Linked DNA regions of Anolis sagrei. The protein of the gene in region 1 interacts with the protein of each later gene in a biochemical or structural test. Links are inferred from orthologs where the notes say so. Each region holds a gene or a part of one and is shown on either strand. Other genes may lie near its edges. The genes, in order: PINK1 and BAG2.

The links.
Region 2: the proteins of PINK1 (region 1) and BAG2 form a complex in vitro, tested with the Homo sapiens proteins (2 studies listed by BioGRID). The link is inferred for Anolis sagrei from reciprocal best matches to the Homo sapiens genes PINK1 and BAG2.

The regions. Positions count from the first base shown.
Region 1 is NC_090033.1:19,646,339-19,654,542, forward strand, and holds the start of PINK1 (serine/threonine-protein kinase PINK1, mitochondrial), read right to left. Parts: upstream 3,271-8,204; 5' UTR 3,178-3,270; coding exon 2,872-3,177; intron 1-2,871. Other genes in the region: CDA (cytidine deaminase), read right to left, coding at 7,398-7,526. UniProt on the Homo sapiens protein: Serine/threonine-protein kinase which acts as a sensor of mitochondrial damage and protects against mitochondrial dysfunction during cellular stress.
Region 2 is NC_090021.1:118,661,665-118,669,683, reverse strand, and holds the start of BAG2 (BAG family molecular chaperone regulator 2), read left to right. Parts: upstream 1-4,937; 5' UTR 4,938-4,986; coding exon 4,987-5,144; intron 5,145-8,019. UniProt on the Homo sapiens protein: Co-chaperone for HSP70 and HSC70 chaperone proteins. Acts as a nucleotide-exchange factor (NEF) promoting the release of ADP from the HSP70 and HSC70 proteins thereby triggering client/substrate protein release.

The DNA.
Region 1 (8,204 bases):
TCATATTTTTACATTATTTTCATATTATTCTATTTTTTATTTTTTATTATTATTTCATATTATTCTATATTTTTATATTACATTTATTTTATATCTATTTCCTTATTTCTTCCTTCTGTTTATACAACAATTTCGTGTTATTTTATACGATTATATTTTATATTATTATTTCATATTATTTTATATTATTTTCATGTTATTCTATATTTTTATTTATTTTATAACTATTTCCTTATTTCTTCCTTCTTTTATATGATTATATTTTATATTATTATTTCATATATTTATATTATTTTCATATTATTCTATATTTTTATTTTATTTTCATTTTATATCTATTTCCTTATTTCTTCCTTCTGTTTATACAAATATTTCGTGTTATTTTATATTATTATATTTTATATTATTATTTCATATTATTTTCATGTTATTCTATATTTTATATTTATTTTATATCTATTTCCTTATTTCATCCTTTTATATTATTATATTTTATATTATTATATTTTATATTATTATATTTTATATTATTATTTCATATATTTATATTATTTTCATATTATTCTATATTTTTATTTTGTTTTCATTTTATATTTCCTTATTTCTCCCTTCTGTTTATACAAAGATTTCATATTATTTTATATTATTATAAAATATAATAATTATTTTCATATATTTATATTATTTTCATATTATTCTATATCTTATATTTATTTTATATCTATTTCCTTATTTCTTCCTTCTTTTATATGATTATATCTTTTATTATTATTTCATATTATTTTCATATTATTCTATATATTTTTTATTTTAATTTTATATCTATTTCCTTATTTCTTCCTTTTATATGATTATATTTTATGATTATATTTTATATTAATATTTCATATATTTATATTATTTTCATATTATTCTATATCTTTATTTTATATCTATTTATTTCTTCCTTGTTTATACAAAGATTTCATGTTATTTTATATTATTATATTTTATATTATTTTCATATATTTATATTATTTTCATATTATTCTATATTTTTATTTATTTTATATCCATTTCCTTATTTCTTCCTCCTTTTATATGATTCTATTTTATATTATTATTTCATATTATTTCATATATTTATATTATTTTCATATTATTCTATATCTTTTAATTATTTTATATGATTATATTTTATATTATTATTTCATATTTTTATTTTATTTTCATATTATTCTATATTTTTATTTATTTTATATCCATTTCCTTATTTCTTCCTCCTTTTATATGATTCTATTTTATATTATTATTTCATATTATTTCATATATTTATATTATTTTCATATTATTCTATATCTTTTAATTATTTTATATGATTATATTTTATATTATTATTTCATATTTTTATTTTATTTTCATATTATTCGATATTTTTATTTATTTTATATCTATTTCCTTATTTCTTCCTTCTTTTATATGATTATATTTTATATTTTATTTTATATTATTTTACATTATTTCATATTATTTCATATTTTATATTATTTTATATTATTTATTTTATACTTAATTTTATATTATTTTATATTATTATTTCATATTTTATATTATTTTATATTATTTATTTAATATTTTATTTTATATTATTTTACATTATTTCATATTATTTTATATTTTATATTATTTTCATATTATTTATTTTATATTTAATTTTATATTATTTTACATTATTATTTCATATTATTTCATATTTTATATTATTTTCATGTTATTTATTTTATATTTAATTTTATATTTTATATTACTTTCATATTATTTCTTTTATATTATTATTTCATATTATTTCATATTTTTATATTATTTTATATTATTTATTTTATATTTAATTTTATATTATTTTATATTATTATTTCATATTATTTTATATTTTTATATTATTTTCATATTATTCTATATTTTTATTTCATATTTTTATACCATTTTCATATTATTTATTTTATATTTAACTTTATATTATTTTACATTATTTCATATTTCATATTTTTATATTATTTTATATTATTTATTTTATATTTAAATTTATATTATTTCATATTACTATTTCATATTATTTTATATTATTTTCATGTTATTTATTTTATATTTAAATTTATATTATTTTATATTATTGTTTCATATTATTTCATATTATTTATTTTATAATGTTATATTATTTTATATTATTATTTCATATTATTTTCAGATTATTTATTTTATATTTAATTTTATATTGTTTTATATTATTATAAAATATTATTCTATATTTTTATTTTATATTTTATATCTATTTCATTATATTGTATTTTATATTATTGTAAAATAATATTCTTTTTTAATATTTTATATTATTAGTTCATATATTTATATTGTTTTCATATTATTTTATATTTTTATATTTAATTTACTTTAATTTTATATTATTATTTCATATTATTTCATATTTTATATCATTTTCATATTATTCTATATTTTTATTTTATATTTTTATATTTAAATTAATATTATTTTATATTATTATTTCCTATTATTTATTTTATATTTAAGTTTATATTTAAGTTTATATTATTTTCTATTATTATTTCCTATTATTTCATATTTTTCTATTATTTTCATGTTATTTATATTATTTATTTTCTATTTAATTCTCTATTATTTTCATATTATATTCTAATTGTGATATTTTTTTGGCCGCCATGATGGCTCATCCTTCTGCGCCTGCGCAAAAGCCTTCCCGTCTCCACCTGCGACTACTCTCCCGTTTCCTTGGCAACAAGTCCTAGAGAGTACCGTTTCCACGGCAACGAGGCCTAGTCCGCCAGCGGACGCCTGACTCGATTTGTATCCGCCCACCTGGATGTCCTGGCAAGCCTCGTCCGCCCTCCTCTGCTCGGCCAGCGCGGGCTCAAACAACGCGAGCCCGAGGCTGAAGGCTAAGCCGAGGCGGCGAGGCCCAAGCGGGACCCTTGGGTGGAAGAAGCGCGGGCTCCGGGTGAGGCCTAGCCAAGCCGCGGCCTCGCGTAGGAAGCCCCCCGGGCGGAGGGGAACGGCTGCGGGGGGATGAACCGGAAGTGGAGGCCGCGGCGCTCCTCCGACCCAGCGCCATAGCAAGGCCCGGCCCAAGCGGGCCCCGCGGCCTAGCGCCTGCCGGAGCGCCATCGCAGCCCCGAGCTGGAGTTGTTGTTGTGGCCGGGATTGTGACGCCCACGAGGCGGGGCCTCTTTCCTCCTGCTAGGCCATCCTTGCGCATGCGCAGAAGGCTATTGCGTTTCCTTCAGGGATACACCATCAAAACCGTCCAGACAGATGGTCATCCAAGTTCTGCTAATAATAATAATAATAATACTAATAATAATAATAATAATAATAATAATAGAATCCTAGAGTCGGAAGGGACCCCCAAAGGTCATCCAGTCCAACCCCCTTCTGACATAATGGGAAACACCATCAAAACCGTCCAGACAGATGCTCATCCAAGCTCTGATAATAATAATAATAATAATAATAATAATAATAATAATAATAATAGAATCCTAGAGTCGGAAGGGACCCCCAAAGGTCATCCAGCCCAACCCCCTTCTGACATAATGGGAAACACCATGAAAACCGTCCAAACAGATGGTCATCCAAGCTCTGCTAATAATAATAATAATAATAATAATAATAATAATAATAATAATAGAATCCTAGAGTCGGGAGGGACCCCCAAAGGTCATCCAGTCCAACCCCCTTCTGACATAATGGGAAACACCATCAAAACCGTCCAGACAGATGGTCATCCAAACTCTGCTAATAATAATAATAATAATAATAATAATAATAATAATAATAATAGAATCCTAGAGTCGGGAGGGACCCCCAAAGGTCATCCAGTCCAACCCCCTTCTGACATAATGGGAAACACCATCAAAACCATCCAGACAGATGCTCATCCAAGCTCTGATAATAATAATAATAATAATAATAATAATAATAATAGACACCTAGAGTCATCCAAGTTCCAATAATAATAATAATAATAATAATAATAATAATAGCATCCTAGAGTCGGAAGGGACTCCCAAAGGCCATGAAGCCGCTGGGGGAGTTTCGGATTGAGATGTTATCTCTATGCAGATGACGTCCAGATCTGTCACTCCTCACCTGTCACCAAGGAGGCCGTCCAGACCTTGAACCGGTGCTTGGCCGCTGTGTCGGATTGGATGAGAGCTAATAAATTGAAATTGAATCCAGACAAGACAGAGGTCCTACTGGTCAATCGCAAGGCCGAACAGGGCATAGGGTCACAGCCTGTGTTAGACGGGGTTACACTCCCCCTGAAGACTTGGGGGTCATCCTGGACTCATGGCTGAGCCTGGAACCCCAGGTCTCGGCGGTGGCTGGGAGAGCTTTTGCACAATTAAAACTTGTGCACCAGTTGTGCCCGTTCCTTGGGAAGTCTGATCTGGCCACAGTGGTCTACAGCCTTGTTACATCCCGTATAGACTACTGCAACGCACTCTACGTGGGGTTGCCCTTGAAGACTGTTCGGAAACTTCAACTGGTCCAGCGAGCGGCAGCCAGATTGCTCACCGGAGCGACATACAGGGTTGTGTCAGCTCCAGTGGCTGCCAGTTCAGTTCCGAGCACAATTCAAAGTGCTGGTTTTGACCTACAAAACCCTATATGGTTCCGGTCCAGCGTATCCGTCCGAACGGATCTCCCTCTACGTCCCACCCCGGAGTCTGAGATCATCTGGGGAGGCCCTGCTCTTGACCCCACCGCTATCACAAGTGAGGCTGGTGGGGACGAGGAGCAGGGCCTTCTCAGTGGTGGCCCCTCACTTGTGGAACTCACTCCCGGGAGAAATCAGGGCATCAACTTCCCTGAGTCCCCTCCGGGGTGAGAAGGGCGGGGTAAAAGAAACCGAAATAAATCTGCTTGTCCCATTTTGATGGATTCATTTCAATTGGTGAAACCTGAGGATGTGGACAAGGTGCTTGGAGGAATGACCACGTCCATCCTAGACCCCTGCCCATCCTGGCTTCTGAAGGAGGCCAGAGGGGGATTGGCTGGGTGGGTTAAGGTGGTGGTTAACGCCTCCCTTCGGGAAGGCAAAATTCCAGCGAGCCTAAAACAAGCTATAATCAAACCGCTGTTGAAGAAACCATCACTGGACCCCACTCAATTCGACAACTTTCAGCCTGTTTCCAATCTCCCCTTCTTGGGCAAAGTCCTGGAACGTGTGGTGGCCTCACAACTCCAGGCATTCTTGGACGACACGGATTATCTGGATTCGGCACAGTCTGGTTTCAGACCGGGACATGGAACCGAGACGGCCTTGGTCGCCTTGGTGGATGATCTCCGCCGGGAGCTGGACAGGGGGAGTGTGTCCCTGTTGGTTCTGCTGGACCTCTCTTCGGCCTTCGATACCGTCAACCACGGTATCCTTCTGGAATGGGCCTTGGAGGCACTGTTCTGCAGTGTCTCCGGTCCTTCCTAGAGGTGTTACTGGGAGACTCCTGTTCAACTCCACAACCTTTGTCTTGTGGGGTTCTTCAGGGTTCAGTCTTGTCTCCCATGTTGTTTGACATCTACATGAAGCCGCTGGGGGAGATCATCCGGAGTTTCAGGGTGCGATGTCATCTGTACGCGGATGATGTCCAACTCTGTCTCTCCTTCCCACCTACTTCTAAGGAGGCTGTCCAGACCTTGAACCGGTGCTTGGCCGCTGTGACGGTCTGGATGAGGGCGAACAAATTGAAATTGAATCCAAACAAGACAGAGGTACTCCTGATCAGTCGTAAGGCCGAACAGGGTATAGGGTCACAGCCTGTGCTGGATGGGGTCGCACTTCCCCTGAAGCTTGGGTGTGACCCTGGACTCATCGCTGAGCCTGGAACCCCAGGTTTCGGCAGTGACCAGGGGAGCATTCGCACAGTTAAAACTTGTGCGCCAGCTGTGCCCGTACCTTGGGAAGTCTGACTTGGCCACGGTAGTCCATGCACTGGTTACATCCTGTATAGACTACTGCAATGCTCTCTACATGGGGCTGCCTTTGAAGACTGCTCGGAAGCTTCAAATGGTCCAACGATCGGCAGCCAGGTTCCTAACAGGATCAGCACTCAGGGAGCACACCACTCTTCTGTTGCGCCAGCTCCTCTGGCTACCAGTCTGCTACTGGGCACAATTCAAAGTGCTGGCCTTAGCCTATAAAGCCCTAAACCAGTGGTTCTCAACCTTCTTCATGTCCCGACCCCTTAATACGGTTCTCATGTTGTGGTGACCCCTAACCAAAACATTATTTCTGTTGCCACTTCAGAACTGGAATTTTGCTCCTGTTATGAATCGTAATGCAAATATCTGATTTGCTAGATGTATTTTCATTCACTGGACCAAATTCACTGGACAATCCAGGAGCATTTTTAACCAAGGATGGAACTGAACTTGGCACACAGAACTTCCATGACCAACAGAAAATACTGGGAGGGTTTGGTGGACCTTGAGTTTGGGAGTTGTAGTTCACCTACATCGAGAGAGCACTGTGGACTAAAACAATGATGGACCTGACTTGGCACGAATGCTCAATATGCCCAAATGTGAACACTGGTGGAGTTTGAGGGAAATAGACCTTACCATCTGGGAGTTATGGTTGCTGGGATGTATAGTTCACCTAGTGTCAAAGAGCATCTTGAACCCAACCAACAATAGAATTGGGCCAAACTTCTCACACAGAACCCCCATTACCAACAAAAAAATACTGTGTTTTCTGATGGTCTTTGGCGACCCCTCTGACGGGACCCCTCTGACTTTGGCGACCCCTCTGACGGGGGGGTCGGGACCCCTCAGGGGTCCCGACCCCCAGGTTGAGAAACACTGCAAACAGTTCTGGCCCAACTTACCTGTTTGAACGCATCTCCTCCTATGAACCAGTTAGGACGTTAAGATCGTCTGGGGAGGCCCTGCTCTCGGTCCCGTCGGCATCACAAGTACACCTGGCGGAGACGAGAGACAGGGCCTTCTCAGTGGTGGCCCCTCGGCTGTGGAACGCCCTTCCTACAGATATCAGATCGGCCCCCTCCTTATTGGCAAAGTGAAGACCTGGTTGTTCGAACAGGCAGTGTAATTGATTACAGGAACACGGAATAACGGATGATGAGATTGGATTCTGATTCTATTGACGAGACACAAATGATTTGTCATATTGATGTTTAATCGTTGTTATGCTATTGTTTTTAAATGTTCTAATGGTTTGGTAATGTGTGCATTGAAATTGCTGCTGTTAACCACTTTGAGGGCTGAGAAAAGCGGTATATAAGTGAAGTAAATTGTAATAATAATAATAATATATCCCCAACCCATCCGCAGTCCCTTTGAGATTCAAATATATGCAAATATATTCAATTTCCCCCCAGTTTTTGGAGGTTTTCCGGTCCAAAAGAAAGGGGCAAGAGTTCTTCCAAGGTCTTGTGGATGTAGGTCTCGTCGTCCCCTGCCTTGGTCAGGTAGATGTCCCAGTCTTTGCCAAACTAAGGAGAAAGGGAAAGGTAGAATGAATGGCATGTGCTTTGGAAAACTGCAACTCTCCCATCATCATCATCATCATTATCATCATTATCATCATTTTGTGTTGCTCATGGATTCAAGTGCCTAGTTTCCAAAGATGGAGACTTTACACGAAACTTGGCGTTATCCTGACGTTGCCTCAACTGAAGCAACATCATCATTTCTTCCTGGAATTACTTTGCATCCCAATCAAGAGATAAAAGCAGGACATGATCATTATCATCATCTTGTGTCGCTCATGGATTCAAGTGCCTAGTTTCCAAAGATGGAGACTTTACATGAAACTTGGTGTTATCCTGACGTTGCCTCAACTGAAGCAACGTCATCATCTCTTCCTGGAATTACTTTGCATCTCAATCAAGAGATAAAAGCAGGACATGATCATTATCATCATCATCTTGTGTCGCTTATGGATTCAAGTGCCTAGTTTCCAAAGATGGAGACTTTACATGAAACTTGGTGTTATCCTGACGTTGCCTCAACTGAAGCAACATCATCATCTCTTCCTGGAATTACTTTGCATCCCAATCAAGAGATAAAAGCAGGACATGATCATTATCATCATCATCTTGTGTCGCTCATGGATTCAAGTGCCTAGTTTCCAAAGATGGAGACTTTACATGAAACTTGGCGTTATCCTG
Region 2 (8,019 bases), on another chromosome or scaffold:
GCCCCAAGTACAGCGTGTCAGTAATCCAAATGGGATGTAACTAGGGCATAGACTACTGTTTTAATTGTGTAAAGGCCCTCCTGGCCACCGCAGATACATGGGCCTCCATGTTCAGTGCTGAGTCTAGGAAGATCCCCAAACAGTGGGCCTGTGTCTTCAGGGGAAGTGTGACCCCATCCACTACAGGCTGGATACCTATTCCTTGGCCTGCCTTCTGAATGACCAGGAGTACTCCTGTCTTGTCTGGATTAAATTTCAAATTGTTTACCCTCATCCAGTCCATTACTGATGGCAGACATTGGTTTGGGGTTAGGAGAGCTTCCTTGGCAATAGATGGAAAGGCGTAGTAGAGTTGGGTATCATCTGCATATGCAATATGGCACCGTACTCCAAAACTCCGGATGACCTCTCTCAGTGATTTCATGTATATGTTAAACAGCACAGGGGGATAAAATAGGCATAGAATAGAAATAGACAAATCCAGGTTTCCTGAGATTTTTAGGTTATATGTTGAATGAGAAAATCAAACCACCGCCTGCAATAGTCTAGGGCAGGGGTCCTCAAACGTTTTAAACAGGGCCAGGTCAGAGTCCCTCAAACTGTTGGAGGGCCGGATTATAATTTGAAAAAAAATATGAATGAATTCCCATGCACACTGCACATATTTTATTTGTAGTGCAAAAAACACTTAAAACAATACAATAATTAAAATGAAGAACGATTTTAACAAACATAAACTTATTAGTATTTCAGTGGGAAGTGTGGACCTGCTTTTGGCTGATGAGATAGGATTGTTGTTGTTGTTGTTGTTGTGTGCTTTCAAGTCATTTCAGACTTAGGTTGACCCTGAGTGAGGGCCGGGTAAATGACCTTGGAGGGCCATATCCGGCCCCCAGGCCTTAGTTTGAGGACCCCTGGTCTAGGGGGAAATGTAAGCTATCCTTAGGAAAGACCTTAAATACTTCGAGCAGTTCCCTACATGTCTCATTCCCTTGCTATAAGGAGACCAACAAATATTGTCCATCTTTGGGGTGACTATCACATTTCAGAAGGGTGTTGGTGAGTAGCATTCCCATCTTTTTCATACAGTCTCAATCACCTAATCAATACCCTTCAAGATCTAAGTGCTGTATTCTATTACTAATCCAACTGGAATAAAATTCTAATTCAAACTAGACACGTGTATTAACATTCTCTGCTAAAGTGCTCCTTTTTTCACTTCATTAACTTTTAATTCCCAAAGTCTACCCACAGCATGCAATCTGAATGTTGCTATTACCACCCTCTTCCCACCAGGGACCATCCTTCGTCCATTGACACATTCTGCTGTAACAATATCCACATGTTTTTGCTTTTAGCCATGCGGATATAGCTGTGCGAATCTTCCCCGAGGGAGTGAGTGCCGGTCAACCTGCCCACAAATAAGCCCTGTAAGATGATCCTGTCCAGAAAGTATTCTGTTAACACCTACGCTCTGAATAGCAAGCCATGTGAAAATAGCACCTTTGTTTTTTCTGAAGGGGAGAAAAACTCCCCATAGAAAAGGTACAGCACGGCTCTATATCAACTCCATGCGGCATGGTCAATGTCTTTACAACATGCACTTTTATAGTGTCTGGCGGACCATGAGTTTCTGTACTCGTGCTTTCAGGGCTATGGAGAAAAGGGGTTGAGCTAGAAAGCATCAAACCTTTTAAAGCTATGTAACGAAACCCATGAGTGAGTGAATACCATCTTGACGCACAGTCTTCTAGTCCTTCCAATTATGGTTAACATTATTGAACTCTGAAGCCACAACATACTTCCTTTCATAAAAGGAAAGTCTTCTGTCATCTTCAAGTACCTATTTATAAAAAGACTTCCAGTTGCTGTTAAGGCCCCTAACAAAATGACTTTACAGTACTGTTTGATGTGCCACAACTTTCAGGAACTTAAACTAGCAATTATAGCCTAAGTTACGATTGCAGTCTGATTTTTGGAAATCTCCCAGCCACCAATTGAACCAATTTCTCCCTCCATCAAAATCTGACTCATGAAAAAAGATAAATGTTTCCCCTTGACATTAAGTCTAGTTGTGTCCAACTCTGGGGGTGGCACGCATCTCCATTTCTAAGCCGAAGAGCAGGCGTTGTCTGTAAACACCTCCAAGGTTATGTGGCCAGCATGATTACATGGAGCGGCAGAAGCTGGGGCTAACAGCGGGAGCTCATGCTGCTCCTTGGATCTGAACCGCTGACCTTTTGGTCAGCAAGTTCAGTAGCTCAGCGGTTTAACCTGCTGCACCACTGGGGGTTCCATCGGGGCTCAAGAAAGAGCCAGGCTGGGTTGTCGGTTTTTTGGGCTATATGACCATGTTCTAGATGCATTCTCTCCTGACGTTTTGCCTGCATCTATAGCAGGCATCCTCAGAGGTTGTGAGGTCTCACAAATGTTGAGGTCTATTTTCCCCAAGCCCCACCATTAACATTTCGGCCTATTGAGTATCCGTGCCAAGTTTGGTCCAGATTAATCACTGTTTGAGTCCACAGTGCTCTCTGGATGTAGGTGAACTACAACTCACAAACTCAAAGTCAATGTCCACCAAACCCTCCCAGTATTTTCTGTTGTCTATGGGAGTTCTGTGTGCCAAGTTAGCTTCAATTCCATCGTTGGTGGAGTTCAGAATGCTCTTTGATTGTAGGTGAACTATAAATCCCAGCAACTACAACTCCCAAATGACAAAAATCAATCTTCCCCCCAACCCCACCAGTATTCAAATTGTTTGTGCCAAATTTGGTCCAGTGAATGAAAATACATCCTGTATATCAGATTTTACATTACAATTCATAATACTAGCAAAATTACAGTTATGAAGTCGCAGCGAAAATAATGTTATGGTTGGGGGTCACCACAACATGAGGAACTGTACTAAGGGGTCTACCATTAGGAAGGTTGAGAAACACTGGTCTACACTCTCACACTCTCTTGCTGTCCTTAATGTAGTGTTGCTGTATTTTTGAAAATTAACTTCAGTTGTGTTTTTTTAAAATAACATTTTCTAGGAAAAAATCTAAATTGGTAAGAAATACTTTTGTAAAAAACCCTGTCCTCTTCTTTGAAAAGAAGGTTGAGAAACCAAATCACTGCAGTGCAGTTAAAGAAAGGAAAGTTTGTGCCAGCCCTTGGCATGCGCTCAAGAGACTGCAGGGCTGCTGGGTCCTAATAGAAACTTAAGAGGAAGAAAGGACTTGTTAGAGCAGGCAAAACCTTTCACTTTTGGGAGAGCATCAGGACAGCTTTTATGAGTGGAGGAAAAAAGTTGATATTCCAACTCTAGGATTCTAAGCTGTGTGAGTGCATCTGTTTATGTAGGTGTGTTTTGAATGAGGTCTATCATATCTATGACTGTATAGCCATCTATCTGGAAGGCTTTTGTAGTGTCTTCTTGCAGGCAGAAGAGGGTTAGACTGGATGGCCCCTTGGGTCCCTTCCAGCTCTAGGATTCTAAACTGTGTACGTGTGTGTGTTTATTGAATGATGTCTATCATATCTATGATTGTCTGGCTATCCACCTGGAAGGCTTTGGACACCCACTTTTGCATGGCAGAAGTGGGTTGGACTGGATGGTCCTTGTTGTCTCTTACAGATCTATGATCTCTACTGTTTGTATGTATGTATGTATGTGTGTGTGTGTGTATATATATAGAGAGAGAGAGAGAGAGAGAGAGAGAGAGAGAGAGCACCTGTTATAACTATGACTGGCTGGCCATCTGTCTGAAAGGTCTTGATGGTGTCTTCTTGCATGGCAGAAGTGGGTTGGACTGAGTGGTCCTTATGATCTCTTCCAGATCTGTGACATCTATTGTGTGTATATGTGTAAAAAAATATTTTAAATGTCTGTCATATCTAGGCTAGCTGGCCATCTGCCTGGAAGTCTTTGGTGGTGTCTTCTTGCAGGGCAGAAGAGGGTTGGACTGGATGGCCCCTTGGGGTTCCTTCCAACTCTAGGATTCTAAATTGTGTGTGTGTGCATGTATTGAATGACGTCTATCATATCTATGATGGCCTGGCCATCTGACTGGAAGGCTTTGAGGGTGTCTTCTTGTGTGGCAGAAGAGGGTTGGACTGGAGGGGCCTTGTGCTCTCTTACAGATTTATGATATCTATTGTGTGTGTGTGTATACGTGTGTGTATAGCCTGTCACAATTATGGCTGGCTGGTCATCTGTTTGGAAGGCTCTGATGGTGTCTTCTTGTGTGGCAGAAGAGGGTTGGACTGGATGGTCTTTGCGGTCTCTTACAGATCTATATCTATTGCTTGTGTGTGTGTATATATATGTGTGTGTGTGTGTGTGTAGCCTGTCACAACTATGGCTGGCTGGTCATCTGTCTGGAAGGCTCTGATGGTGTCTTCTTGCATGGCAGAAGAGGGTTGGATTGGATGGTCCTTGTGGTCTCTTCCAAATCTATTATATCTATTGTGTGTACGTGTGTGTGTATACACACACACACACACACACACACTATATATATATATATATATATATATATATATATATATATATATATACGCACGCACACATTCTCTCCTCCCCTCTCTCTTTCTATATACTGTATATAATATCTGTCATAACAATGGCTGTCTGGCCATCTGCCTGGAAGGCTTTGATGGTGTCTTCTTGCATGGCAGAAGTGGGTTGGGCTGGATGGTCCTTGTAGTCTCTTCCAAATCTATGATATCGATTGTGTGTGTGGGTGTGTATATATATATATATATATAAAATGTCTGTCCTAACTATGGCTGTGGCCATCTGCCTGGAAGGCTTTGGTGGTGTCCAACATTGTGGGAGTTGAAGTCCAAAACAGCTGGACTGGAGAGCAGCCTGGACTGGAGACTGGAGAAGGGCGGGCAGGCGTGCCCTGGGCGGCCCTGCTGCCTGTCCTCCTTGTTCGGGAGGGAGGAGCCTCGGGCGGCGCAGGCAGAGGGAGAAGCTGAGGCGGAGCGGCGATGGCCCAGGCCAAGAGCAGCGCCTCCAAAAGCCTCCTCGCTTCGGAGCCCGGGGAAGGGGGAGTGCCGCCGCCTCGCCGGGGCCGCTTCTTCCGCTCCACTTCCATGGCCGACCGCTCCAGCCGCCTCCTGGAGAGCCTCGACCAGCTCGAGCTCAGGTCAGGCACCAGCCCAAGGGGAAGGAGGGAGCGCGCGGGTGAGCGGGCGGGCGGGCAAGCAAGAGGCGCGTGCACCGTGGACTAGGCGAAGGGAAGCCGCGCTGCAGGCCATCCCCAGAGTTCTCCTCTCCTGCCTCTCCAAAACACACAACTTCAATGACACCGCTTTGTACTGGGGTCTTGGAAGTTGTAGTTTGGAGACGCACTTGCACCCTTTGGCAGAGGAGGCTGAAGGCTTGTTTTTTTAAGACTACAATTCCTATGATTCCATAGCATTGAAACAGGGCAGGTCAAAGTGGTGCCAAGGTGCATTCAGGCTACAGGGTAGATCAGGCACGAGCAAACTTGGGCCCTCCCTCCAGGGGTTTTGGACTTCAACTCCCACCATTCCTAACAGCCTCAGGCCCTTTCCTTTATCTACTTTATCTCCTGTGCCTTTTTTGTTGCAGGTTGTGGGCCTATTTGGCCCAGCATAAACACAGAACCAGTCTGCCCCACAGTCTGTCTTCATTATTATTATTATTATTATTATTATTATTATTATTATTATTTACGACATTTATATGCCGCCCTTCTCACCCCAAAGGGGACTCAGAGCAGCTTACTATACACACACACACACACACACACACACACACACAATATATATATATATGTATGTATGTATTGTATTGTATTGTATTGTATTGTATTGTATTGTATTGTATTGTATTGTATTGTTGAAGGCCTTTATGGCCGAAATCACTGGGTGACCCTTCTGATAACCCCTCATGACCCCCCCCCCCCCCAGGGTCCCGACCCACAGGTTGAGAAATGCTGCCATCCAGTCCAACTCCCTTCACCAGTGCAAGAAAACACAATCTAAGCCTTCCTGACAAAAAGCCATCCAGTCATATAGATATATAGATATGATTCACACACACACACATATGTATATGACAGATATAGTATCCTAGATTTGAAAGGGACCTCTAAAGAAGGACAATGATATGTTGCCTGTTTCAGAGTAGGCAAACCTGACAATCTCTACATCAAGACTGACAAAGAAACAGCAAGAAATACTGTTTACCCACAAGCAGAAAGAAATTACCTATATTAGAAACCAACACTTTCTCATTACTTTATTTTCCAGATCACCAGATTGGGCCACAGCAACGCATGGCAGGGGACAGCTACTCTATATAAATAAAAATGTAATGTTTGTTTGTGAGATTAACATAACTCAAAGTCCACTGGATGAATTGCTGTCAAATTTGGCCACAAGACACCTTCTAACCCAAGAAGTGACCATCACTAAAAAAATGATTTTGTCATTTAGGAGTTGTATTTGATGGGATTTATAGTTAACCTACAATCAAAGGGCATTCTGAACCCCACCAATGATGGAATTCAAACAAATGTGGCACACAGGACTCCCATGACCAACATGGGCATTTATGGGCATTGATCTTAAGTTTGGGAGTTGTAGTTCACCTTCATCCAGAGAGCACTGTGGATTCACACAATGATCCAGACCAAATTTAGCACAAATATTTCATATGCCCAAATATGAACACATGGAGTTTGGGGGAAATAGACCTTTACATTTGGGAATTGTAGTTGCTGGGATTTATAGTTCACCTACAATCAAATAGCAATCTGAACCCCACCAAATGACAGAATTGGGCCAAACTTCCCACACAGAACCCCCATGACCAACAGAAAATACTCAAATACTCAAGGCCATCCAGTCCAACTCCCTTCACGAGGGCAAGAAAACGTAATCAAAGCCCTCCTGACAAAGAGCCATCCAGCCATAGATGTAGATAGATATATATGATTCACACACACACACACACACTACTATAGTATCATAGATTGGAAAGGGACCCTAAACAAGGACAATTCTATGTTGCATGTTCCAGAGGAGGCAAACCAGGCAATCTCCAACACTGACAAAGAAACAACAAGAAATACTGTTTACCTACAAGCATAAAGAAATGACAGATTAGAAACCAACGCTTTCTCGTTACTTTATTTTCCGGATCACCAGACCGGGCCAGAGCAATGTCTGGCAGGGAACGGCTAGTAACCATATTAAAAAAAATGTAATGTTTCTGAGATTAACATAGCTCAAAAACCACTGGATGAGTTGACATCAAATTTGGACACAATACACCTATCAGGCCATTGAGTGACCACCACTCCTAAAAACACTGAAAAACACAGCGGAAGGGACTTAAAATCCAAAAAACCAAAAAGACTCTACAACGCATGCACAAAAATTACTCTCCTGGTAAACAAAACACACAAAAGCATATCCACACTCTCTTTCGGACTACAGCTCCCAGCATCCCCTAGACCAGGCCCTTTAGGAGAGGAGGATGATCCAAATGCACTGCTTCCAGGATGCAAGCTTTCTTCTCCTTGGATTTCTTTGAGAGCATCCCAATCCCTGCATATTTCCAATTTCCTATTCCTGGACTGCAACTCCCAGCAACCCTCCCAGCTAGTTTTTTATATAGTAAACGAGGAACATGAACACAATAAAAGCACCCTCAGTACTAATTTTGCTCTAATTGGGAAGCTATGCTCGCTTTGCCATTAGTAATAGATATGCTATAAGGAGAGAGTTTCGTATTCGAAGTAGCCAAACCTGTCCCATAAATTACTACCTCTGTATTTTCCCAGACATGAAAGGAATGGAAAAGGTGTAGCAATTGAAATGCTGTGGTTGGCCTGTTCCATTTGGGACTTGAAGGGCTACAGCCCGGGTACTGATTTACCATCTGGACTGAGCACCAAATCATCTGGAGCAGGCATCCTCAAACTGCAGCCCTCCAACTGTTTTGGCCTTCAACTACCACCAAAATTCCTGACAATTAAACAAGCTCAT